Coturnix japonica: one gene and its partner. The protein of the gene in region 1 interacts with the protein of each later gene in a pairwise test. Links are inferred from orthologs where the notes say so. Each region holds a gene or a part of one and is shown in the gene's direction. Other genes may lie near its edges. The genes, in order: SERGEF and DPH3.

Region 1 (12,153 bases):
ACCCCTTCTGCGCCCAAGGCTCAGCAAAAAGTACATTGTGGAACTTGCTTTTAAAACATGCGGTGCATCCTTCTCTCTCTCATTCCCTCCCACAGTGCCTCTGGGGGCTCTAAGAACCTTCTCTTGGGGGTTTCATGTCTTTTCCTAGTTCAGGCAAGGCTGGTACTGAATGTGGCTTCTATGCCTTTCTGTTAGGCTTGCTCACGTAGAGGACTGAGGCTGGGCCCTGAGTGGTCACAGAGGTACAAAAATGCTGTTGTGAGACAGGCTTGGTTATTCCTCTCTCTTCCTTACTGCAAGAACTTGCATGGTACAGAAGGACAATTTCTTTTGTAATTTAAAATAAGCTAGAAAGTGACCAAGTTTGTGTGTATACCGATGTGACTAAAAGGAGCCCTTGTCTTCTGAATATATACTGCATGCATAAAACCTCTGATGTTTGCTTTGAATTGGCGTATTTGCATATTTTACAGTTAATAAGCATTTCGAACTACAGCTATCAGGTTCCTCTCCTCTCTGTCTTATACAACATACTTTTGTATTTACCACTGAAGAACTTTCAAGTATCTTGCTTTAAATTAACTTATTTACTACAGCTGGAAAAGCCATTTAACTTGTTTTTTCTTTCCTCCTTCTCTCCCCAGGGTTTCAAAGACAATGTCTATCGTAAGAGGCGAAAGTATTTTGCAGACCTGGCTATGAACTACAAACAGTAAGTTCAACTTCTTTCAGAAAAAGCCATCTGGGTGCTTTGGAATAGCAACAGAGTGGACTGGTTCACGTTCCCTGGTCTCAGATCTCACTTGTCTCAGGAATCAGAGCTAGAAGGATAAAGTGAAGGGAGATTTAATGCAAGACTTACAGGTTGATCTAGGTAATGCAAGATTAAAAGGTAGATCTAGGCCACCTTACAGCTTCCTGGGTCTCTGGTCAGTCTGAGGATCAGCTCACAGCTGCATAGATGTTGTGGTATCTGTGGCAGCACTGATCCTCAAACAGGCAGCAATGTCAGCATAGGCTTCCTGCAGTGGGATGTGTTCAGGCACTGGGTTCTCTCCCCTGTTCTCTGGAAATGGGTGCAGCAAAGCAAGGGGGTGGGCAGCACATCTGCACAGCTGTCTGCCCAGGACATGCATACTCTGTCAGGGTTGATCTCTTTTGCAAAGGAAGGAGGGGAGGAAAAGTCACTAGACAGCCCATAGACCACTGAGAATAAATTCTCTGGGCAGGCGTTAATACTTGAGTTTTATTTCCTGGTTTAAAATAGAGCATGTGATGCGTAGATAAGAATTCTATGAAATAGAATTCAAAGAGCTTCTGTCTTTAGAGATTCTGCTTGGGGGAGGGAGCTCTTAAAGCTCATAGCCCAGTGCTAAAGTTTTTTTGTTGTTTTTTTTTCTGAACATGTTTCTTGCATTACTGTTGCTTGTGTGAATATTGACACCAAATTCTTCGACTGGGAACGACCTGGAAGTGGCAGATATGTAGAGCTTCGTGGCACTCAGTGTTCATGCAGCTGGCCACCACAGCATGCGGGCAGTTACTGTGGATGTGTTGTTAATAGAGCTTTCCTTGGGAAAGCAGCAGTTACCTGGCTGGCAGTGGAAGCAATGAATGATGCTCCAGTTGCTTTCAGTAGCCTTTAAATCTGAGTCTTGCTCTAATCCACATACATCAAGATCCGAAGGGTTGATTAGCAGAGATGGACTACAGTCAGTATGTTTGGACAGGCCCTCGTCTCCTCTGCACAGAAGCATGGTTTTTACCTAACATGCATGTTTAGTTGCTTCCACTTATTGTGCTGCTAATTTAGGAGATTATCTTTTCCTAAAATAAAGAAGGTAATGGAAAATTATTGTACACAGACAGAGATATTAAAGGGAAGAAGATGCATTCCCAGCTCCTAAAACAAAATATTTTGCAGTTACTGTTTATAAGCACTTAGGAAACTATTTATATGATTGAAGCTTTCAGGCCCCCTGTGAGATCAATGCAAGGATTGCTATCTGTTGAGTGTGCAAGCCTAAAAGTTCTCCAGGGCATAGACCAGATCTCACTTGTGTACTTGACAGTGTAATGAAGTCTTAAGCTTGACCAGGTGTCCCAGCCATATGAATGTTAAACAATAATAGTAAGTAAATGAGTCATCCTTATAAGCCATTTACCAGGGAATGTTCCTTTGTCCTCATCTCCTTGTAGTGGTGACCCAATTCCCAAGATTGAATTCACAGAGGAGGAGATCAAGACTTGGGGGACTGTGTACCGAGAGCTTAACAAGCTTTACCCAACTCATGCCTGCAGAGAGTACCTTAAAAACTTGCCCTTGCTCACCAAATACTGTGGCTACAGGGAAGACAACATCCCCCAGCTGGAAGACGTGTCCCGCTTCCTGAAAGGTAGGGTATTCATTTTCTCTCACATGAAAAAGAACTGAAGTCCATTGCAATTCACACTTTTACTATGTGGGCACAAAAGAAAAATGATAGATTCTTGGTTTTGGCTGGGAAACTTAAAAGCAAAATGTTTGCTTCTATTAATTCTGGTCATTTAAGAGGCCTTTTGGCCATCTGGATTTCAGCATATTATGTCCTGAATATATGCAGTGATGGTTTGGGGGGCCATGCTAACTCTAAAGAGACTTAGGACTGGTTCAAGTGATACCTAACTGTATTCTGTTGGTTGTAGGCATGAAATCTTAAGAAATCCACCTACGCAGATGTAGGGACACTTCTACTGAATGTTGGCCATTCTCAAGATTAGGCCTAAATTTTCTAGTCATGCCTAATTTTTTCATGTGCTCTTAAGCCAAAGTAGTGTTGTGGTACTTACCCCATTTGTAGCAGAGATGGGAACATTATGGACTTCTACTTTAAACTAACATATATTTTTTTTCCACTCCTTTTGTAGAGCGCACAGGTTTCACCATTCGCCCAGTTGCTGGGTATCTGTCACCCAGAGACTTCTTGGCAGGATTAGCATTCAGAGTTTTTCACTGCACTCAGTATGTTAGACACAGCTCGGACCCTCTCTACACACCAGAGCCGTGAGTAGAATGAGACTCATGTTTCTGAGTATTACTGCCCAAGCCAAGCTACTTAAAAGCTGTTCATGAAGACCAGCAAGAAAACATACTTTCAAAGGTGCTGAAGACTTCAGTCTTCACACTGAATGTAGTGATGTTTTAGCATGCTCAAGTGCCACCTTCATAAGCACGAGGTTTTCAAAAGTAGAGCATGTTATTGGAGGACTCTTGCAGTTGTCATTGTGGGCAGAGTTTAAAGTTCAGTTGGCTTATAAACATGAAGCTGTGCTCTTAATATTAGATACCTTCATTTGAAAACCAGAGCAACCGTACTTTTGTAGAAGTGTGTTTTCAGCTAAACCTGATTTGATACTCCTCTGTATTTTGGATATTGTTTAGCTAATGAACACAAGACACTGTTTAGTGGTGCTACTTTTTCTCTCCACCACAAAGAAAGATGAGATTTTTTTCCCCCTCTTTTCCAGCGATACCTGCCATGAGCTCCTAGGCCATGTCCCTCTTTTGGCTGAACCCAGTTTTGCTCAGTTCTCCCAGGAAATTGGTCTTGCATCACTTGGGGCATCAGATGAGGCTGTCCAAAAACTGGCAACGGTGAGTGTTTCAGTACCCAGTGATCCCACTTAAAGCTTAGTGCTTCATTCAGCTGATCCCATTCTAATTAATTCGGAGATTAATTTCAACATTAACTGCACCAGCTGCTAGGCCTGTTTCACTGACTCTTAGCTTTAGAACATATAACAAGTTTCCATGCTGGGAAAAAGATACATTTTAAGAAAGATGTGACAGGTCTTACTTCACTTAGGTCAAGTAAGTATGCAACTTAAAGGGGTAGATCACTTCTTCCAGCTTGAAATTCTGTAGTCTTTTTGCTCCAGAAAATATCTTTCTACTTCTGAGAATATAGATTACATGTAAAAACACTGAACTATTACTTCAATAATATTCAACGCTGAACTACAGTTATGAAAGAGCTGCCAGTCATAGCTAGTGGTAAAGCTGCTACCTTTAGTGAGAGCAGAAGTAAACCATCTAAGAAAATACCATTCCTTGCCACATACCTGCAGGAATCCTGAAAATCAGAAAACTAAACATCTTTAATTTTTAGACCACTAAGGAACAACCTGTGTTGGATTGATGTTTTCACTTGTTGAGACCCTGTCTATCCAGTGTTTCTTTTTTGCTGTATCTCTCACGTCATTGCAGTGCTTCTCAAAACAGAATAAATTTCCACATTTCTACTGGTTTCTGCCCCAGCTGGGTGAGCTATGTTATCTGATTTTCTTATTAGAAACACTTAATCCTGTGGTTCTTCACACTTCTATTTAGGTTCCTGTCTCTTTAGATATCTGAGAATGATAATGAAGTAATGACTTGCAACTTCTTGGTACTTGGCAAGTAGAAGTGCCCCCATCTAGTTCACCACAAAACCTTTGCTGAAGACTGATTTATTTTACTCCCTTCTCTGTTTCAGTGCTACTTTTTCACAGTAGAGTTTGGCCTGTGCAAGCAGGAGGGACAGCTAAGAGTTTATGGGGCTGGTTTGCTCTCTTCTATTAGTGAGCTCAAGGTAAGAATATCCACTGCTTATCCTTCAGAGATACTCAGTTTTGTTATGCTTAAACCATTGTTCAGCTGCAGACGTGTTTTAAGAAGCAACGCACTATGATCTCACCTCATCTTTTTTTTTTATTCGCTGTTTAATCCATCTCATCTTCCTCATGGATTCTTTTTGGTGGTGATATTCCTCTGGCACGTGATAACACATGATGGTACTTAGCACTCACTCTCTGGCAGCGCCAAAGTCAAGCCTTTCGATCCAAAGGTCACCTGCAAGCAAGAATGTCTCATTACAACCTTCCAGGAGGTTTACTTTGTTTCTGAAAGTTTTGAAGAAGCAAAGGAAAAGATGAGGTACGTTTCTGTTTTTGTTTTTCATTCCCTGTTCTATAGATGCATTCTTGACTTCCTAGAGGCAGCACCAGTTCCTTTCATTCTTATAATAATTTTATAATAGCCTTTCATGAGGCTGGAAAGCTGAGTTTAATATTTACTTGGTCTCCCATGTACTGGATGGGAGAGATGATGAACTTTGTAGTAATTACAATGATCACTAAGAAAGTAAGCGGTTTAGAAAAGTCATTACTGATACTGACTGTACACGGAGGATATGTTTGTCTTCTGGTTAAACTTCCTCTCTTTTTTTCTTTAATAGAGAGTTTGCAAAAACCATCAAACGTCCATTTGGTGTGAAGTACAATCCATATACTCAAAGCGTGCAGATCCTGAAAGACACCAAGAGCATTGCCAGCGTGGTGAACGAGCTCCGTCATGAGCTGGACATTGTCAGCGATGCCCTCAGCAAGATGGGCAAGCAGCTGGAAGTTTAACGTTCCCATCATCTGTGTTGTGTGCTCAGCAACTCTTTTCTTTTCCCCACTTGTCTCTTTCTAGGCATGTAACGTCTTGTATGCAGAACTTTCCTTTACTAATGGAAGAGTGGATAGCCCATAAAGATAATCACCTTAACTCACTTTAACTTATTTTTCTGTTTAAAGTCCCCTACAGAATGTATTTCCTTCACCTCCATTCCCTGAGGATAAACAAGTCCTGGAGCTGCCTTAGAGAAGTGAGCAAAGAAATAGAGAAATCACTAGGCTGGAGCAAAACTGTGGTCAGGGCTCGGATCAGATGCTTCAGCGAGTGGCTTATGAGGCAGCTGTAGAATAATTTGGCACAGGGAAATGTCTTTCTGATGCTAGTGGTCTGTGCTGCTAATTTCACAATAGTGTAGACTTCATAGCATAGAAGCTATAGGACTATAGTAATCGGTGCTTCTGAGTCTGTGCTATTATAGAAATATTTAATGTTTAAGTATTTAGGTTTAGAACTCAAATGATTACACCCCCGGGTACCAGGACACAAATATATGAAGTTAATTTATGTGTGTTGAGGGTGTAATAAATGGAAGATTTCTGAAGCGTAGGGTATATTTAATAGCACCCTGCTTCTCTGTATGTGGTTCTTACCAGAGAATCCAGTTGCAAAGGTGCATTTTTACACTATTAACCACACATACCTTCTGTTTCCACCCCTCCTGGCTGGGTAGAGCATTCATTATATGCATGTTTATACTGTCGTGAAGGCTTTAAGTGTCAATGAAATAAACCTGTACCGTCCTGCTGGTAATTGGTAGAAGCAGGTAAACCTTTCCTTCGTCACTTCAGCAATAAACACAGCCCACTCCGACTGAGCTTGTGTGTTCTATACTGCGGTGCGGGCTTTCTGCACCCGCGGCTTCATTCCCTCGCGAACTGCACGTGTTTCTGCGAGCAGCGATTAGTTTTCTCCCTTATAAAGGCTCCGTCGCCTTTCCGCAGGTGTTAGTGCTCAGCCGGCCGTGCATTCTGGGTGCGGGCAGGTTGCTTTGTGAGCATCACTCGGCCAGACCGGCACCGCGCCGCTCCACGTGCAGCAGCACGACTCCGTGCACCGTCGCTCCGCCCGCCTCTAGGCGGCCGCTCCCGCTGATGTAGGGCCCTCCCCGGCCCGCCTCTTCCTCCTCGGCCGCGGACGGGTCGGGAGGGGCACGAGCCGCATGGAGGCGGAGCTGCGAGCGTGGGTAGGTGGGCGCGTGGGCTGCGCGGGGACATGGCCCGCCTTGCGGCCGAGAGATGGCGAAGGAATGAGGGCGGGGGTGGGCGCTGCGAGGCTCCTCCGGCTGCGCTGCGCTCTGCTGGCCAGCACGGCCCTCGGACGGGCTGCAGAGCCGAGTCTTCTGTGAGCGGTGGGAAACGTGAGCGACGGGCTGTGACAGCCGGTGCCCGGGTGTCTCGCCGCCCTCTTGTTGGCTGCTTCGGAGGGGGGAGCTGCGGGCGGCCGCTGCTGTTCGGAGCCTTGTCCTGAAGGCGTGCGGTCTGCACGTGTCGGACCTTGTGAAGAGCGTTAGGTGCCTGCCACGCCAGCCCGTGCTCCTGCGTGAGGTCCGAGCTGCCGAGCAAAAACCCTTCGAGGAACTCGGGGCAGCAGGTGAGGTGGGTTAGCTCCCACGGGGCGGCCTCCAGCTGCGGCAGTGCGGGGTGCTGCTTGGCTGTGGTCATCTCGGAGACCATCAAGTGGCTGAGAAGCTCCCCGGTGCGTTCCTGCCGTGCTGCGTGTGTAAAAGCAGGCAGGTACCTTCGTGTTTTGCCCTCTGTAAGGTAGAAGAATTAGTTAATGATGGGTAAGTGCTTCTGCTTTGTTGCTTTAGGTTCCAGAACGACACAGCTTGTCGTTCTCACCTTATTTTGGTGCGTTCTGCTGGAAGGCATTAGCATGAGTAACACTGTTAGTGTTAAACAGGTGGCCCTCGTTGTTGGTAAGGAGGCATTCAGCCCTGCCAGGTGTTAGCCTGTATTTAGTCTTAACGAGCACGTTCCTGTGTGGAATGAAGATGCTGGGGCTGCATGTTTGGCCTTAGTGGCAGCAGCTCTGGCATGGCCCTGCTCTGTAGTTCTGGGCGCCATGTAACGGCTGTAAGAGTGAAGGTTGAAGGTTGCCCTTTGGGGGATTTCTGGGAGCAGATTGTGTCAGGTTAACCCGTGCCATGTCCCTGGTGAAGCTGCTGGCTTGTAGGGGGAGAGCTATGCACATCTCTTCTCATTAACTTCCTTTTTTAATGTGTTATTTGTCTGTGTGCATTTGAAGGGTGCAAACAGCTACGGGCAGCTTGGCCTTGGTCATAAAGAGGATGTGCTGGTACCTCAGTCACTGGAAGATGTTTCCTGCAAATGTCAAGACATCAAGAGCATCACCGGAGGAGGGGGACATTCTGCCCTTATCACTGGTAAAAACATTGCTCTTGCAAGGGCTGTGTGACTTGAGCTGCTACAAGTCTTTCCTTTCTGGTGCAGTGCTGCCACCTATGTGTAGCTTCTGTGTATGAGCAAGTATCGATTCTTAGTTGTAAAGCGTATTCCCCCGTCCCTATCAACCTGATATTTTGGAGAAATTCCTTTGCTCATCTTCTGTGGCTGTTTAATTACTTTGTGAGGATAATTTCTAAACCCATATGACATAATCGCTTTTAATACAAAACTGTTGCTCCTCCTCTGTTGAGGATGAGGAGGGAAGTAGTCAAATGGAATGTTATTCAATCTGGAGAAGTTTTAAGGTAAGGAGCAGAAAATAGCATCTGGTCTTCAAAAGGTTCTGCTATACACCATAGTTAATTATGGGAATAAAGGGATACGGGCAAGTGTGAATGGTGTGAAATCCTTCTGAAAACAGGTTCTTGTTTTGCTATGTGAGCCGATGCTTTTTTTATGACAGCCGTGCTTTCTCAAACATGTTTCTGGTGCATCAGAAATAGCTGTCTCTGTGCAGTTCAGTTTGTTAAATGACACATAATCACTGTCTTGTCACAGAATCTCATTGCATATGTGCTTCTTTGTGAACTGAGTGTGATTTTATTTAATTATTCCAGGTGCTGGAGAGCTCTTTGTATGTGGCTGTAACAAAGAGGGACAGTTGGGTTTGAATCACACGGAAGATGTGCTGCGTTTTACCCTGTGCACTGCCCTGTCTGGCTTCTGTGTGCAAGAAGTGGCCTGTGGTTGGGATTTTACAATCATACTAGGAGGTGAGTCTGTCTTTGCAGGAGTTGGGGGAATATGGGGATGTGGAGAACACGCTGAGAGTTCTCATTGCTGTTGCGTTCCTTGTGAGTTTCAGACCTTAATTGAACATTATGTGTAAAATCAGAAGGCTGTGGCTTTGGAGACCTGAAAAGGGGAGATGTTAGGCCTTTATTTTTCCAATTATTTCACTATGTTTTTGCCTGATGTAATTTTACAATACTTGGCTTTTGCTCAGAGATGCAGTGATCACTCTCTAATGCTTTCATTTGCAGGAGCTGGCCTTGTTCTGTCCTGTGGGTCTAACGCTTTTGGGCAACTAGGAGTTCCTCAAATTTCAGGTCCATGCTCGATTCCACAAAAGATCGAGGTAAAGATCTAGAAGGAACTGCTCTATAGCTCTGTGCATTGCGTTGCTTACAGCAATGAGAAGGGTCTGGTGATCTCAGTGAGCTTTGAAGGCTGGCTCTTCAACTTTTTTAAAGGAGTCCATCTGATGAAGTAAATTTACAGAGTAGACAACCAGTGATGGTCCTTGACCCAGAAAGGAGATGCACCACTGTAGGTAGGGAGCTCTGAATGCAGCCTCAAACTGTTTGCTTTCAAATGCTTTAAGTAGTGAGAACTGAGACTTCCATACCAAAAAAAGCTTCTTTAGTGTTGGCTGTAAGCCTAACAGTGTAAATAAATTTCTCAGGGGAATTCTAATTAATCCCTAATTTACGCTGTAGCTTCTTATTTGAAGAAAGCTTTTACAACCTGATAAACTCTCCCATGTGATGCAAATGATAAGGTGAGAGCTGAAAGGACCCCTAGGCAGGAATTGTAGCCTCGTGGTCTGTGCCATCCACTGCTCTGTTGTGTTTTTTTGTGGCAGCCTGGGTAATGTAGGGAAGGAGGCACAGCTGGTGGTCCTCTAGCAAGTAGGGGTTACCTCAGCTGATGCTCCTTGGAAACGTCAAGGGTATGGAACGTCATTCCAGTGCGGTGCCTTGAAAACAGTGGCAGTGACAGCGAGGACCATTCATTCATCTGAAATATTTTCTCTTTTGCTTTGTGTCCTGTTCAGTGCTTGGATGGAAGGGAAGCATGGCTGACAAAAATTAGAAGGAAGGTCTTCTAAAAATAAACAATAATATGTTGGTGTGCATTATAACATGCAGGCTGGAATTGGGAGCTGTTTTCCCCGTGTCCCACAAATGTGTTCAGTATACTCTGCTTTAAGAGGCAAAAATATGAAAAGCATTTTCTCTTTTTTTTCCCCTCTATTTGAGCAGTCCCTCAAAGAGAAAGTAGTGAGTATTGCTGCAGGACTGAGACATGCCCTTGCTGCTACAGGTGAATATGTTATCTTTGTTTTCTCATTTCTGGAACAAATGAAGAGTACTTTTAATGCCTGGTGTTTTAATGGCTTAGTTGGGGAGCAAAGAAAATAAGGGTGAATTTTAGCTTCTATTTGCACTTGTGCAATGAGACTATAGTTGTTGCCTAGAAGGATAACCCTGGTAAAGTCTGGTTTTGGCACAAAGAGCATGCAAAGCACAATTTGAACCAGTGAATGTGCCTTTAAAACTAATTAATTATTCACTTAAGTTATTTTATTGGTGGTTATTGTGTTTTAATCTCTGTGTGTTCACTCTGGGAAGAGAGTGGTTTGGTGTTTCAGTGGGGAACTGGCATGGCATCTCGGGCAAAGCGTGCGCACCAGGGGAAAACTCTCCCTCTGTTCTGGACTGCAAAGGAACCCTGTGAAATAAAAGGTAATTCTGGAGTCTGACTTTGTCAAGGCGATAGAGCTGAAATATGTTTTGCAGTGATATGTAATGTTTCTGTTTATAAAGCTGCTTGGTATCATAAATATGGAGCATCTGAAATAATGAGTGTACAAGTTCATAATCCACAGGGAAAAATGATACTGAGTCTTTTAGCATCTGTGACCTGGAAGAGGTTTTCATTATAAAATTCACTGTTATCAAACAATCATACCTTGGTATAACTGTTACATGTCTGTGCACAAAATGACATCTTCTGTACAATTTTATGAGACTAAATTTTCCCTAGGCCTGGAAGATGTGAAGAGAGTTGCTGCAGGCTCCTACCATTGTGTGTCTCTTACAGGTAGGCCTTAGGTGCAGGCATAGAAGTCCTTGTCTCAACTTACAAGGGGGTTGTGTGCTTTGGAAGTGCCTGTCAGCTTTGGCTTGATTAGTGTGTTGTGGCATAGTGCCGGTTAGCCATTCTGTAGTGGTTTTGCATCCTGGGACTTCCATCTTAAGATCTGGTTTCACTTGTTAAATTTTCAGAGTTCTATGTATTTTATTAATGGGGTCAGGTATGACACAGCCCTTAGAAATAAGCAAGGGTCTGGGCTCTTAGTGGTTAGAAACTCTGCAGGGATTTATGAAAGCACTTGTTTGCATAGTTCTCTGCAACAGCGGTGCTGCGTCAGGTGACTGGATACATGGGCCCTGGCCTGAGTGCAACCCTTTGCCAATGGGAAGGAATGTTAGGGGGCTATGTTGTGAAAGGCTGCTGTGACTGTCCTCCTGCAGCTCAGAAGGTCAGATGGGCTTTGCGTGGGCACGAGGTCTTTGTTGGCTCTGCAGTAACAGCATGCACATACATCTGTGTGAGGTGGTGTAAGAGCTCCAAGTGTAATAAAAGCAGTGGGGAAATGGCTTTGTCTCTTAAGCACTTGCATAATTTGGGCCATTTGTGCTTTAGGCAGCGCTCCTGTATTGGGTGTTATGTATCTGGTAGTGCAAAGTGTAAGAGAAGTTATTTGTTTTTATTTTTACTTTTATTTCTTGGCAGACAAAGAAATGGGGAAAGAGAATAGCTTTTCATCTGTAAACTTATGGTTCTGGAATGTGGGAAGTATATTGAACCGTATGAAAACAAATCTTTACCAAACTTCGGAAGGAGTTCTTAGCAAACATGCAGCCATCTGGTACCTCTGCCATCATCAAATGGAGCGCTGCAGAGCTCGCTTATGCAGAGAGACGGAGTTGTACGGGGAAACATTAGATGTGAATTACATTGAGTTCTGAGATGAGAAGTCTGTATGTGATTAGTGAGGAACTGGCAGGACAAATAGAATCTGCCTTAGCTAATTAGCACTTTGTGTGTTTAAAGTGAGCAAATCATTGTTTCATGCTTTTTCTTTCTTTCTTTTTTTTTTTTTTGAGAGCAATCTATTTGGCAACAGGGCAACCACATCTAACACAGTAGGTGTCAAAGCTTGTAATGATGTGCTGGTATTGCTGCCCTTCCTCCTGCTTTAGCTTCTAAGGATGCTTATTTAAGTGCCTGTCAGGTGTAGTATTTAGTAAGTGAGCATCACTGGGGTTTTTTTTCTAGGGATTTCTTGCTGAGCAATGCAGTTTTCTTGAGCTCTGTCCCACAGGCCACCTGCTGGTGGGACACCAAACACCAGTCACTGGGAGGCTTTTGGTACAAGGGGTTGAAGTGTATTGTTGCAAACATTTTTTCTTCTTT
Region 2 (11,820 bases), on another chromosome or scaffold:
AGAATTAGATGAAAACATGGTTGCAAAACTGCAAGGCTTTTGTCCGTGTCAGAAGCAAAAATGGGCATCTGCACCTGTTGCTACACAGTCACTCTGTCCATGCACTGAGCTAATGCAGCGTCAGACCCACGTGAAAGGCTGCTGGCCCCTACCCAAGGAAGTGCTAATGCCAGACATGAGCTCTGTAACATGAGCTCTCAAAGCACAGCTCTGAGACAAATGGTTTCCAAAGCAGCTTTGCTGACCGGCACGATCTTACTACATCTCCTCTACTGACCACAAAATCCACCACTTTTACAACAGTATCAAATACAAAAAACGAGGGGGAAAAATGTGAAAGAGACTCCATCTGAAGAGAAAATAAAGCCTATGAATCAAATACAATTACTCAATTTCTTCACCAAAAAGAAAACTTACACCCTAAAGAACAGAACACTGACCTCCTGGCGGAAATTATTTGCTGTTCTCTCCAGGTGATCCATTTTCCTTTTTGATTGTATTGTGCTGCAACAAGAAGCAAACGAATCGTCATCTTGACGGCTGTGCTACTGTGTCTTATTGGTATGGATTTCTATTGATCCAATCATTTGTCAGTGTAACCCAGCGTACATTCCAGCCGGCACAGTTCTGAATCAGAGTTATATGCAACAATATAATTTGGAGGTTACGGAGTATTTACAGGCCTGTAATAATTTGTCATTTGTTATTTCAAAGTGTTTTCATGACATTCTCTTCAAAAACTAGAAGTGTTAGTAGATGGTTGACTTACCCATTCGCTGTACAGTAACAAGAAGCGCAGTGCCTCAACACCACCAGCGCAGATTGAGCAGGACAAAGTCTGCAGGCACTTCTCAGTAAGTGAGGGATAGTACAGCCCATGTAAGTGGTAACACGAGCCATGATAACCAGGCTGTCTTTAGAATCACCAGCTCCTGCAAAATCCATATAAATACTTATTAAATAAAATACCCACTGTCTGACGTGGCTTGTGCTTATATAAAAGTCAGCAAGACAGCTGGCTAATAACCAAGTTTACCCTGAATCTGAAGGCTGATATTGTTTATTAACTTCACTAATAACTTGGATGATTGTGACAGAATGTACCATCAGCAAGATTAGGATACTTCACTTTACCAAATAGTGTTATTGTGCTCTTTGTATCTGCTGTCATTTGCATGGAAATTAATAGAATCAAAGAACTGTTTAAAGGTCCCTTCCATCCAGACTGTCACAAAGTCCCAGGGACCAGAAGGGATTCACCCAAGGGTGCTGATGGAGCTGGTAAAGGTGATTGCCAAGATGCTTTCCACAATCTATCAGCATTCCTGGTCAACTGGAGAGGTCTCAGAGGTCTGGAAGCTTGACAGTGTGATTCCCATCTACAAGAAGGGTTGTAAGGAGGATCTGGAGAACTACAGGCCTGTCAGCCTGACCTCAGTGCCAGGGAAGGTTATGGAACAGATCATCTTGAGTGAGATCACATGGCATGTGCAGGACAACTGGGAGATCAGGCCCAGCCAGCATGGGTTCATGAAAGGCAGGTCCTGCTTGACCAACCTGATCTCCTTCTATGATCAAGTGATCCACCTGGTGGATGATGGAAAGGCTACTCAGATTTCAGCAAAGCCTTTGATGCAGTATTCTCCTGGAGAAGCTGGCAGCTCGTGCCTTGGACAGGTACATCATTTGCTGGGTAAAGAAATGAGTGGAGGGCTGGGCTGGGCCCAGAGTGCTGGTGAATGGAGTTAAATCCAGCTGGCAACCAGTCATGAACAGCGCTCCCTATGGATCAGTATAAAGAGCCTATCCTGTTTAATATCTTTATTGATGACCTGGACAAGGGTACTGAGTGCACCATCAGTAAGTTCGCAGATGACACTAAGCTGGGAGGAAGCATCGATCTGCCTGGGGATAGGAAGGTCTCACAGAGGGATCTGGACAGGCTGAGGCCAGTGGGATGAAGTGAAACAGCACCAAGCACCAGGTCCAGAAGTTTGGCCACAACAATGTCAGGCAATGCTACAGGCCTGGGGCAGAGCAGCTGGAAGACTGTATGGAAGAAACAGACCCAGGGGTGTTGGCTGATGTTTGGCTGAACGTGAGCCAGCAGTGTGCCCAGGTGGCAAAGGAGGCCAGTGGCATCCTGGCTTGTATCAGAAATAGCATTGCCAGCAGGAGCAGGGAGGTGATCATCCTTGTGTACTCAGTACTGATGAGGCCACACCTTAAGTAGAGTGTTCAGTTTTGGGCCACTCACTACAAGAAAGATATTGAGGCCCTGGAGTGTGTCCAGAGAAGGGCAATAAAGCTGTGAGAAGTCTGGAGTGCAGCTCTTATGGAGAGTGGCTGAGGGACCTGGGACTGTTCAGTCTGCATGAGGCACAGGGGAGACCTCGTCACTCTCTATAACTGTGTGAAAAGAGTTGTGGTGAAGTAGGGGTCAGCTTCTCCTCCTGCATAACTGTTAACATGGAGTAGAGGGAATAGCCTGAAGTTTCCCCAGGGGAGATTTAGGTTAGATATTAGGACAAAGTTCTCTGAAAGTGGGGTTAGGCACTGGAACAGGCTGCCCAGGGACATGGCTGAGTGTTCAAGACATATTTAGATGTACTAAGGGACATGGTTTAGTGGGGAAAATATTGGTGGTAGGTGGACGTTTGGACTGGATGATTTTGGAGATCTTTTCCAACATCTGTGATTCACGATTAAAGGTCATCCAGATCCACTCTCCTCCCATGAACAGCAATACCTACAGCTGGATGAGGTTGCTTCCCATCCAGCCTGACCTTAAATGTCTCCAGGGATGGGGATTCTACCACCAATCTGGGCAATCTATTCCAGTACTCCACCACCCTTATCATAAAAGATTTCTTCCTCGTATTCAACCTGAATCTCCCCTCTCCTTTAGTTTGAAACAATTTCCCCTTGTCCTATCACAACAAACCCTGCTAAAGAGTCTCCACTTCTTATTGCCCCCTTCAGATACTGAAAGGCCACTCTCAGGTTTCCCCAGAGCCAATGAGCCCCAGCTCTCCCAGTCTGTCCTCACAGGAGAGGTGTTCCATCCCTTGGATCATTTTTGTGGCTCTCCTCTGGACAGGCTCCAACAAGTCCACATCTCTCCTATACCGAGGTCTCCACATCTGGATGCAGTACTCCAGGTGAGGTCTCTCCAGCTCAGAGCAGAAGAGGGGCAGGATCACCTCCCTCACCCTGCTGTTTTTGATGCAGCCAAAGATATGATTGGCTTTCTGGCCTGCAAGGGCACATTGCTGGCTCATGACCAGCCTGCCAAGTCCTTTTTGGCAGGGTTGTACTCTATCCTTACATCACCCAGCTTGTACTGATGTGGGGGTCGCCATGACCGAGGCGCAAGACCTTGCACTTGCATTTACTGAACCCTCATGAGGTTTGTCTGGGCTCCTGCTTAAGCCTGTCTAAGACTCTCTGGATGACACCCCAGCCCTCAGGCATGTCAACCCACACCACACATCCACAAAGACACACACAGGGAGGCATTACTTTCAGAGCAACCTACTATCAATTTTCAGCCAAAAGTACCTTTCATTTACCAAGCTTAGGAAGATGTTTATAGTAAGCCAAAAGGTATTTCTTAGTGCTTGTAAATCCGCCTTCGTTTCTCCTATAAGCACGTTGCTTGCTTCAAAAACCCTTTCTGCAATTAATTGCTACCAACCACAGTGACATCTGCTGGTAAATATGCGGCCCAACTTTGAAATGCAATACAAAGGTACATCAGTTTTATGTTCTTGGTTCACCAAGGGTTCTCCAAACCCTCCCTTTCTTCCATCGATCTGAGAGCAATGAGCGCTTCTTCTGTGCCTTGTCCCCGCATTACAGCTGGTTCTCCTTACCCTGCGAGCCACAGGCCCTGTGTTAACGCATCACATCGACCGCTGCGGCCTCTTCTTCCCTCAGTCCTACCGCATCTGAAGGGAGACACGGACTGTGAGCGGACCCGAGCCAGGCTGAGAGCAACGAGGGGGTACAACCCACCCACACCCCAAAGGCGAAGCGCTTTCCCTCCGATCCACACACACCACAGGCCCCCATCCCCGCCGCCTCCCGTTAGGCCGTGCCCCCATCGGACACCGGCCATAGGGGGCACCGCCGCCATGCCGCCCCACAGCCCGTACCGGCACCGCCTCACGTCACCCACAGCGCCGCCGTCGCGCGGAAGTTCGTCCCCTCTCCTTCCGTTTCGTCCCCGTTGCATGCCGGAGTCATGGCGGTGTTCCACGATGAGGTGGAGATCGAAGACTTCGAGTACGACGAGGAGACGGAAACGTACAGCTACCCGTGTCCCTGCGGGGACCGCTTCCTCATCACGCGGGTAACGGCGGGGGGCGGGGAGGGGGAGGCGGCCTTAGGGAGTGTGGGCCCGTGTGTGACCGTGTCCCGGTCCGTGACCGTGTCCCGTGGGGCTGTTGCAGGAGGACCTGGAGAACGGGGAGGACGTGGCCACCTGCCCCAGCTGCTCCCTCATCCTGCGAGTCATCTACGACCAGGTGAGTGCGGGCTCCTCATTCCTGAGGAAGGTGCCGTGGTTGTTTATAAAGGTCTCATAGAAAAACGGGATGTGGCTGGTGGGCAGCCGGTGGCCTTTCCTTTTGTCTCCTATCCTAATTGTTTTCCTGGTCCCCCGCGTCTCCTGTTGTGCCTTTGGAACGTGCTGGAATGAAATGCAGGCAAAACAGTCCCCGTGACTCCAGCAGTGGTCATCTGGCCAAATATCTTTTGTTAATTACAGGGCATGCTGTACATTGCATCTGCAGTGCTCTGTGCAGGCCTGGGGCTCCCAGCACGCAAAAGACATGGGTGTGGAGGAGGGCCATAAGGATGATGGAGGGCTAAAGCACCTCACTGTGATGACGGGCTGTGGGAGCTGGGCCTGCTCAGCCTGGAGAAGAGAAGGCTGGGGGGAGGCCTTATTGTGGTCATAAAGTACCTAAAGGAAGCTTATTTCAAAACAAAATAAAACAACCTTCCTGTTTACACAGTCTGATAGCGATAGGATCAGGGGGACTGGCTTTAAAATATAGGAGAGGAGATCTGGGTTAGATGTTAAGGAGAATTTTATCATTCATGGGCTGGTGGGGCAGTGCTACAGGCTGCCCAGAGGAGCTGTGGGTGCCCCATCTGTGAAGGTGACATGGCCAGGTTGGGTTGTGCCCTGGGAAGCCTGATCTTAGTGGTTGGCATCTCTGCCCAAAGCAGGGGGTTGGAACTGGGGGGGCTTCTAAGGTCCTTTCCAACTGAAGCCATACTTTGATCTTTGGGGAGAAAATTTTGTGCCAGTTACACCCAGACTAGAAAACAAAATGGTTATTTGATGCATTCCTGAGGAAGAGGAGATCCGAGACAAAAATAAAAGCCAACTAAAACTCTGCTTGCTGTCTCTAGGAGCAGTTCATGCGCGATGAAGTCATTGCAGAACCTTTGGCAAGCAAAGAACTGGTAAAGTGCTGATGAATCCATCATGAACTGTTGCTGCTTTAACATAAGCAAGTGTGGGAATGACAATTTTGGGAAGAGACGTTGCGCCGCCTGGAAGTTCTTGCTGCTGTGAGAGACACGTGCAATAATTGTCTGTCTTAATAACTTGAAATTTTTGGGGGCATCAGCATGAATGAGTTGTTTGTTTGTTTGTTTGTTTCCAATAGAGCTGAGCATTTAATTCGTATTAGCTGGGATACGTACTCTAGAAGACCAGGACTACGATCCTAATTTGACTTAATATGCAGAAGATGCGTATAGTGTTGCTCTACACTGAAATTAGAACAGTTACCCGGCAGTTGTCTCTTAGACTATACGGACAAGTTCAGTATATTTAGTGTGGGTGGATACCAGCATGAAATAGCACAGAGAGCTGAAATGTTGGGGGACGAATGTAGAAGTCAGTAGGACTCCATGGTTCTGTAGGACGCTGTAAAGAACTGAAGTTTTGATGCAACTTACCATCTCCTTGGTTTGGTGCCCTCATAGTTCCAGCATATACCGAGTAGGGGGAGATAATGAGATCCAGAACCTGTGCTGCTGGTACATCGTTTCACTCCTGTGAGTGGAAGGAAAGTGCAGTTGGATTCATAACCGTACTGGGTTGCAGCAGAAGCAGCTTTGGTAGCTGTATCAAAGGGCTGTCTGACACAATGGTTTGTATTTGTGTGCACTGTGTGAAAATGAACAGAAAGCAACAATTTTTGCCCCTGTACAGTTAGTAATAGATGAATGAAATTGAACTCAAAGTGGATTCTTCTTTGCCCATATTTTCTCAATCACATTATCACAGAATTGTAGGGGTTTAAGGGACGTCTAGAGATCATCGAGTCCAACCCCCAGTCACGTTGTGGTTTGATTCTTGCAGCAAATATAAAACAGGCTGTATTTGTCTGTTCTGTTTCTGGATTTGTAAGTCTTGTTTTGTTGGGTTCTGTCATTTCCTGGCAGACTGTTCACTTTATTCAATAATGAAAAGGAACGTTTTTAGGACAGAAGAAAGTTGCAAGAATGTGCTCCAAAGTACCTTGGTTCCAAGACTTCTTGAATCACAGCCCACTGCACTTAAATACTTATTTTAAATGGTGATAATTTGTGTGTTTTAGTAGGATGTGACATCCGGGAAGTTTAGGGGAAAATATTTGTGCAGCATTTATATCATCTTTTCACTCCAGGCACAAGAGATGAGCAGGTCTTACTGATGTCTCGGATTTGGTTATTTTTGTATTTGCAACATTCTGTGAATGTGGGAAACAAACCTAATTACTGCTTAAAACAAAAGCAGGCAGGAGCTGACACCCTGCAACAGGAAGTTTTGAAGGCAACATGCACAACCCGCGTTGTTTCTGTACGTAACCACCAGGTGTCGCTCCTGGGACTTAAATGTCTGTGCTCCACAAAGTGCTGGGGAAATTTGGTTAGCTATAAATATTTATTTTGACTTATGCTTAAATAAAAATGTTTGAAGCTACACCAGTGATTATAATGGGCTGTTACTTCCTCTGCTTGTGCACCAGTCACAATGATTTCTGAAGGTGCTGAGTTTCTGCTGCGGTTGTAATGCCAAAATCTTTCCAGGCTGGCTGAAAATAAGTGGTTTTTAGTCTATCAATAAATGCAGGAACCCCATTTAAGCTGCCATTCGAACTACAGCTGCTTTGTTTTCCAGAGGTTTTCCAGGTAAAACCGTGTTAAAGTTAAAAAGGAACACTAGGGGATGTGTACTCAGAAGTATCGGCTGTATTTGATTTGGTGTGTCCTAATACAAGCTCTGAAATTATTTTCTGTAGCATTCACCATTGCTCTAAAATACAGATCAGAGCTTTTCTGACTATAGGAAAATTGTTACGTCAGTTCAGGACTGTCAGTGCTTAAGGTTTTGTGATGAGCGTATTATACACAAGTTGTATGATGCTGTTTCTGTATGTGTTACTGTTGTTTTATGTAGTGTGTATCAGTGCTTTATTGGGGTTTTCATTTTATTTCCTTCTTCAGAGCTTTTTAGTAGCATAACAGTAAAATGTGGCTTACTTTGTTAGGAAAGGATGCATCCATGTTTGCCCACAGCAATTGCACTCAGTTTGGTATTACTGCAGTATCTTACGGGTTGTTGGGGAATAATCACTGTCCCTTTGTAATACAAAGGAAAGATAAATCAAAAACCAAGCAAGGATGGATGAGATCTGTCTCTTCTGTAGCCTGAGATAGATGTTTAAAAACTGTTGAGCTGCTGTTGTTTGCAGTTACGCAGAGGGATGGAGTTCTACTGCAATGGAGTTCATCCTTCTGAAAGCTCCGTGATGCTAAAGAGCTGCCTGTTTTTGTTCTCTGGGAGCTGGTGAGTAGCTTTGGACCCCAGTGATGGCACACAGCTATTCCATGCTGTGTAATGCCACAAGGCGAGGCAGGGCAATCTGAGTAACACATCAGAAATGTTCTTTACTAAGGAATTCAGTCACAAGGTTTCTTCATAGCACCACAGGCCCTCGCACAGTGTGTAGGCCCCTTGTTTGTTACTTGTGTATTACATATTCTCAGAACCAATGGGTCACTTGTCTTCCAAAAAGGCAGTTATGTAGGACACAAAGAAGTCTTTTGTTTGTTTGTATCTGACAAGCAGATGGATTGATTAGCTAAAAGGTCCTGTAGTTCTGAGTCATTGTGCCTGTTTATCAGGCATACATGATTCGTTTTGAATAGGTGCTTTGGAAGCCCATGACTGAGACCCTGGACCTCTAACAGCCGAGGTCTGTAGGTCACCAACTTCAGCTCTTGCACTTGCTCCATTTGCCTGTATGTTAGGGAGGTTGTAATGACCTAAAGGTCAGTATGCAAATGCCTCGTCACTTCTTCCTGTCATCATAAATATTTAATTTGGATTCTCAGCACCATTCAAGAACTGACCTCCTTTGCAGAGCACCATGTTAATAATGATGAGCGTATAGGCTGTCTGGTCTATCTACCAAGAAGCAGATACTGGTCCATTTTAAATGAGCCTTCAACATACAAATTAAGAAAGTAAGGTGATAACTCTGTAATGCCACTAAGAAAAACAGCTTAAATAAACCCCATTTCCATCCTTCCTTAATTTCAGTTTAAAGTTCAGACCAACCTTTGCTGCAGGGTTGAGTATTTGCTACACTGAAAGTGTAATGAAATGTTACTACAGATAGGATTTAGGAAGATAGTAACAGCACAGTAAAACAAATGTATGCCTTTATTTGCTTTGCATGCAGTTCTTCGTGGGTTGCTTTCTCTTTATGCTTAGTTAGACTGAAGCTTTGATTCTGCTTTGTGGTAACTTAAGATGCTGCTTTCTTCATGTCTCTCTGTGGCAGTCATGGCATAGAGGAGACATGAAGGTCAGGGAGGATGCAAAGGGTCCTGTGTAACCCTAAGGATGCTGGCTTCTCAGCCTTGGAACTGCTCAAACCTTTTGAGTGACGGAGGTAACAACTAAGAGAAGCTGTGCCCAGCTGCTGGGCAGCTGCTTTCACGGTGTAACCTGCTGTCATGCAGGAAGTGGGTCAAAAGGGACTCACCAGGAGGGTAAAAGCTCAGGTGACCTGTCATCACCCCTTACCATCCCTGTTTCCATCTGTTTGCCTATCAGGTCACCTCTTCAGAATTCTTGGCAGCTCCCCAGCCCAGTGTGAGCTTCCTCCCATGTCATGGAAAATCATTGCCGTGCCATTGACTGGGCACAGTCAGCTGAGGGGATTGCCCTGAAGGTGCTGGATGGTGTGTGAAGGTCAGCTGCCCATCCACCAGTGCCATTATGCACCCTGAAAGGCAGTGATTGTAACCACTGTTAACAAATGTTGCTGTTTAAAACCCTGCTAGTATCTTGCATCTGATTTCTTCCTTCAAGTGAAAGAGCAGTTTAATTTGGATTCACAGAGCGCTAATTCATTCATGAGTGTTTACCCTACATATATACAGTTAACTCAGCATCTTTGTGCTCGCATCTATATTTTCAGTTGTGGTTTCATTAACACAGTGTAACTTTCAGTCTTCACCCTGCTCTGGTGTCACCACAATGATGGATGCTGGTGTGCATCCCTTTGCCTGGAAATGAGAATCTGACTCTTCGTTTAGATAGGAAAACAGTCTGGAGGCAAAGGTACAGACAAAACACCCATTGGTTTCCCACCAAGTTGGGAGGGAGTGTTGATCTTCCTGAGGGGAGAAGGGCACTGCAGAGGGACCTGGATAGATGGGATTGGTGAGCCAAGGTTAACAGCATGAGTTTCAATAGGGCAAAGTTTCCAGTCCTGCATTTTGGTTACAACAACCCCAGGCAACCCTACAGGCTTGGGGAGGTGTGGCTGGAAAGCTGCCTGATGGAAAGGGACCTTGGGGTCCGGATGGACAGTTGGCTGAATATGAGCCAGCAGTGTGCCCAGGTGGACAAAAAGGCCAATGGCATCCTGGCTTGTATCAGGAATGGTGTGGTGAGCAGGACTAGGGAAGTCATCCTGCCCCTGTACGCAGCATTGGTGAGACCTCAAGTACTGTGTTCAGTTTGGGGCACCTCAGTACAGAAAGGGCATTGCGGTGCTGGAGCAGGTCCAAAGAAGGGCAACAAGTCTTTTGAAGGGCTTGGAGAATATGCCCTGTGAGGAGTGACTGGAGGAACTGGGGCTGTTTAGTCTAGAAAAAGGAGGCTGAGGGGAGACTTTGTTGCTCTCTTCCAGTATCTGAAAGGTACTTAGGTGAGAGCAGGTTTGGTTTCTTTTCACTGAGGACAGGTGACAGGATGAGGGGAAATGGCCTCAAGTTGCGCCAGAGTAAGTTTAGGTTGGATATCAGGAAAAACTTCTTTACAGAAAGGGTTGTCAAGAACTGGAATGGGCTCTGCAGTGAGGTGGTTGAGTCACCGTCCCTGGATGTTTTTAAAAAACATTTGGATGTGGTGCTCAGGGACATGATTTAGCAGAGGGTTGTTAGTTAGGGTAGTATGGTTAGGTCATGGTTGGACCTGATGACCTTTAAGGTCTTTTCCTGCCTGAGCAATTCTATGACTCTATGATTCTGTGATCAGCAGGAGTCAGAGGAAGGGTCTGCTTAGCCCAGTATCCCATCCCCAGTGCTGCTCCCCTTCCATTTGGTAACATTTCCCCAGGATGCCCTACCATGCTTGTTTTAAGTCGTGGACTTCTTGAGATTGATGCGCTTAATAGTTAATAGCATAAATAAATATATATTTCCATGAGTTATCTTAATCATTTCTTAAATCTGTGTCACAATTTATTATCCACTGCATCCCATGGAAAGAAATTACCCAGTTAGGGACACTTTTTGAAGAGGACCATCTCTTTTCATTTCTTTTTAACCCGTTGCTCACTGGTTCATTTGAAGATATTTATTTCCCCATAGTCATTTATGCTTTGACCCTGTAAGTTCTTTGTCTATTCAGCCACGCTCCACACAGGAGCTGTTCCATGCCCTGTTGTCCTTCTCAGAGCATTGCCCAGCTCTCCCACATTTTTGAGAGGAAAGGAGGTAAGTGAATCGTGTGTACACTGGCATGATGCTATTTGTTCTCTGCTCTGTTCTCTGCTTTCCAAAAGTACTTAATGTCAGACACGCTTTTTGGACACTTCCTGAGCAATAGGCTGATGTCTTCAAAATAATGTTTAATTAAAGCAAAAACCTTTTAGAATCCATGCTCAGAGAAACCCTGATTTTCTCTTATGTACTCTTGTTGATGGGCCAGGCATGTTTTAGAAGAAGGCAGGCTGCCCTGAGTCAAGTGTCATCAGCTCACACCTGAGGCGTATTTCTGCTGCAGTTTCCTGGTGGTGGCTGATGAAGGTGTGCAAATTCCATTTGTTTTGGTGGAACTGTTACAGGGTACTTAATGCTATTCTTCTCTCAACATAGTCATATTGCACTTTGCATGTGGCTTCAGCTCTTTCTTCAAAGCTCCATCAGTATGCCTTGTAGATTTCCCTGTCTTTCCTGCAGTGACTCTCCTGATGAGTGTCTGAATTTTCCACGTGATAAAGCTTTTGAATGGAGTTGTTGGTGTGTTTTAGTGTGACATTACTTTTAATCTCACACTTTAATGAAAGGAATGGATACTGTTTAAGATATAAAAGCATCATTTTTTAAAGGATGAAGAATTTTTTTTTTTCATTTGAAGACACTATTACCTTGTAACTTTTCATTTTAATACCGTTCTGAAAAGAAATTGTCTTACCATGAATGAATAATGAATGGTGAATGTCAAAGAGTGGATAATTCTTGCTCTTTCTTTAGAAGAAGGGGTTAAGTACAACTCAGTGTCTCTCGGCTGGC

What was found.
Region 2: the proteins of SERGEF (region 1) and DPH3 interact in binary tests that used the Homo sapiens proteins (3 or more experiments, as listed by UniProt). The link is inferred for Coturnix japonica from reciprocal best matches to the Homo sapiens genes SERGEF and DPH3.

Annotation. Positions count from the first base shown.
Region 1 is NC_029520.1:16,909,855-16,922,007, forward strand, and holds the start of SERGEF (secretion-regulating guanine nucleotide exchange factor), read left to right. Parts: upstream 1-6,563; 5' UTR 6,564-6,638; coding exon 6,639-6,662; intron 6,663-7,726; coding exon 7,727-7,865; intron 7,866-8,504; coding exon 8,505-8,660; intron 8,661-8,930; coding exon 8,931-9,025; intron 9,026-9,932; coding exon 9,933-9,993; intron 9,994-10,301; coding exon 10,302-10,415; intron 10,416-10,716; coding exon 10,717-10,773; intron 10,774-12,153. Other genes in the region: TPH1 (tryptophan 5-hydroxylase 1), read left to right, coding at 645-712, 2,200-2,396, 2,908-3,043, 3,508-3,634, 4,515-4,610, 4,821-4,954, 5,256-5,430. UniProt on the Homo sapiens protein: Probable guanine nucleotide exchange factor (GEF), which may be involved in the secretion process.
Region 2 is NC_029517.1:31,392,534-31,404,353, reverse strand, and holds DPH3 (DPH3 homolog), read left to right. Parts: upstream 1-4,225; 5' UTR 4,226-4,246; coding exon 4,247-4,354; intron 4,355-4,454; coding exon 4,455-4,529; intron 4,530-5,424; coding exon 5,425-5,490; 3' UTR 5,491-7,146; downstream 7,147-11,820. Other genes in the region: OXNAD1 (oxidoreductase NAD-binding domain-containing protein 1), read right to left, coding at 441-504, 770-900.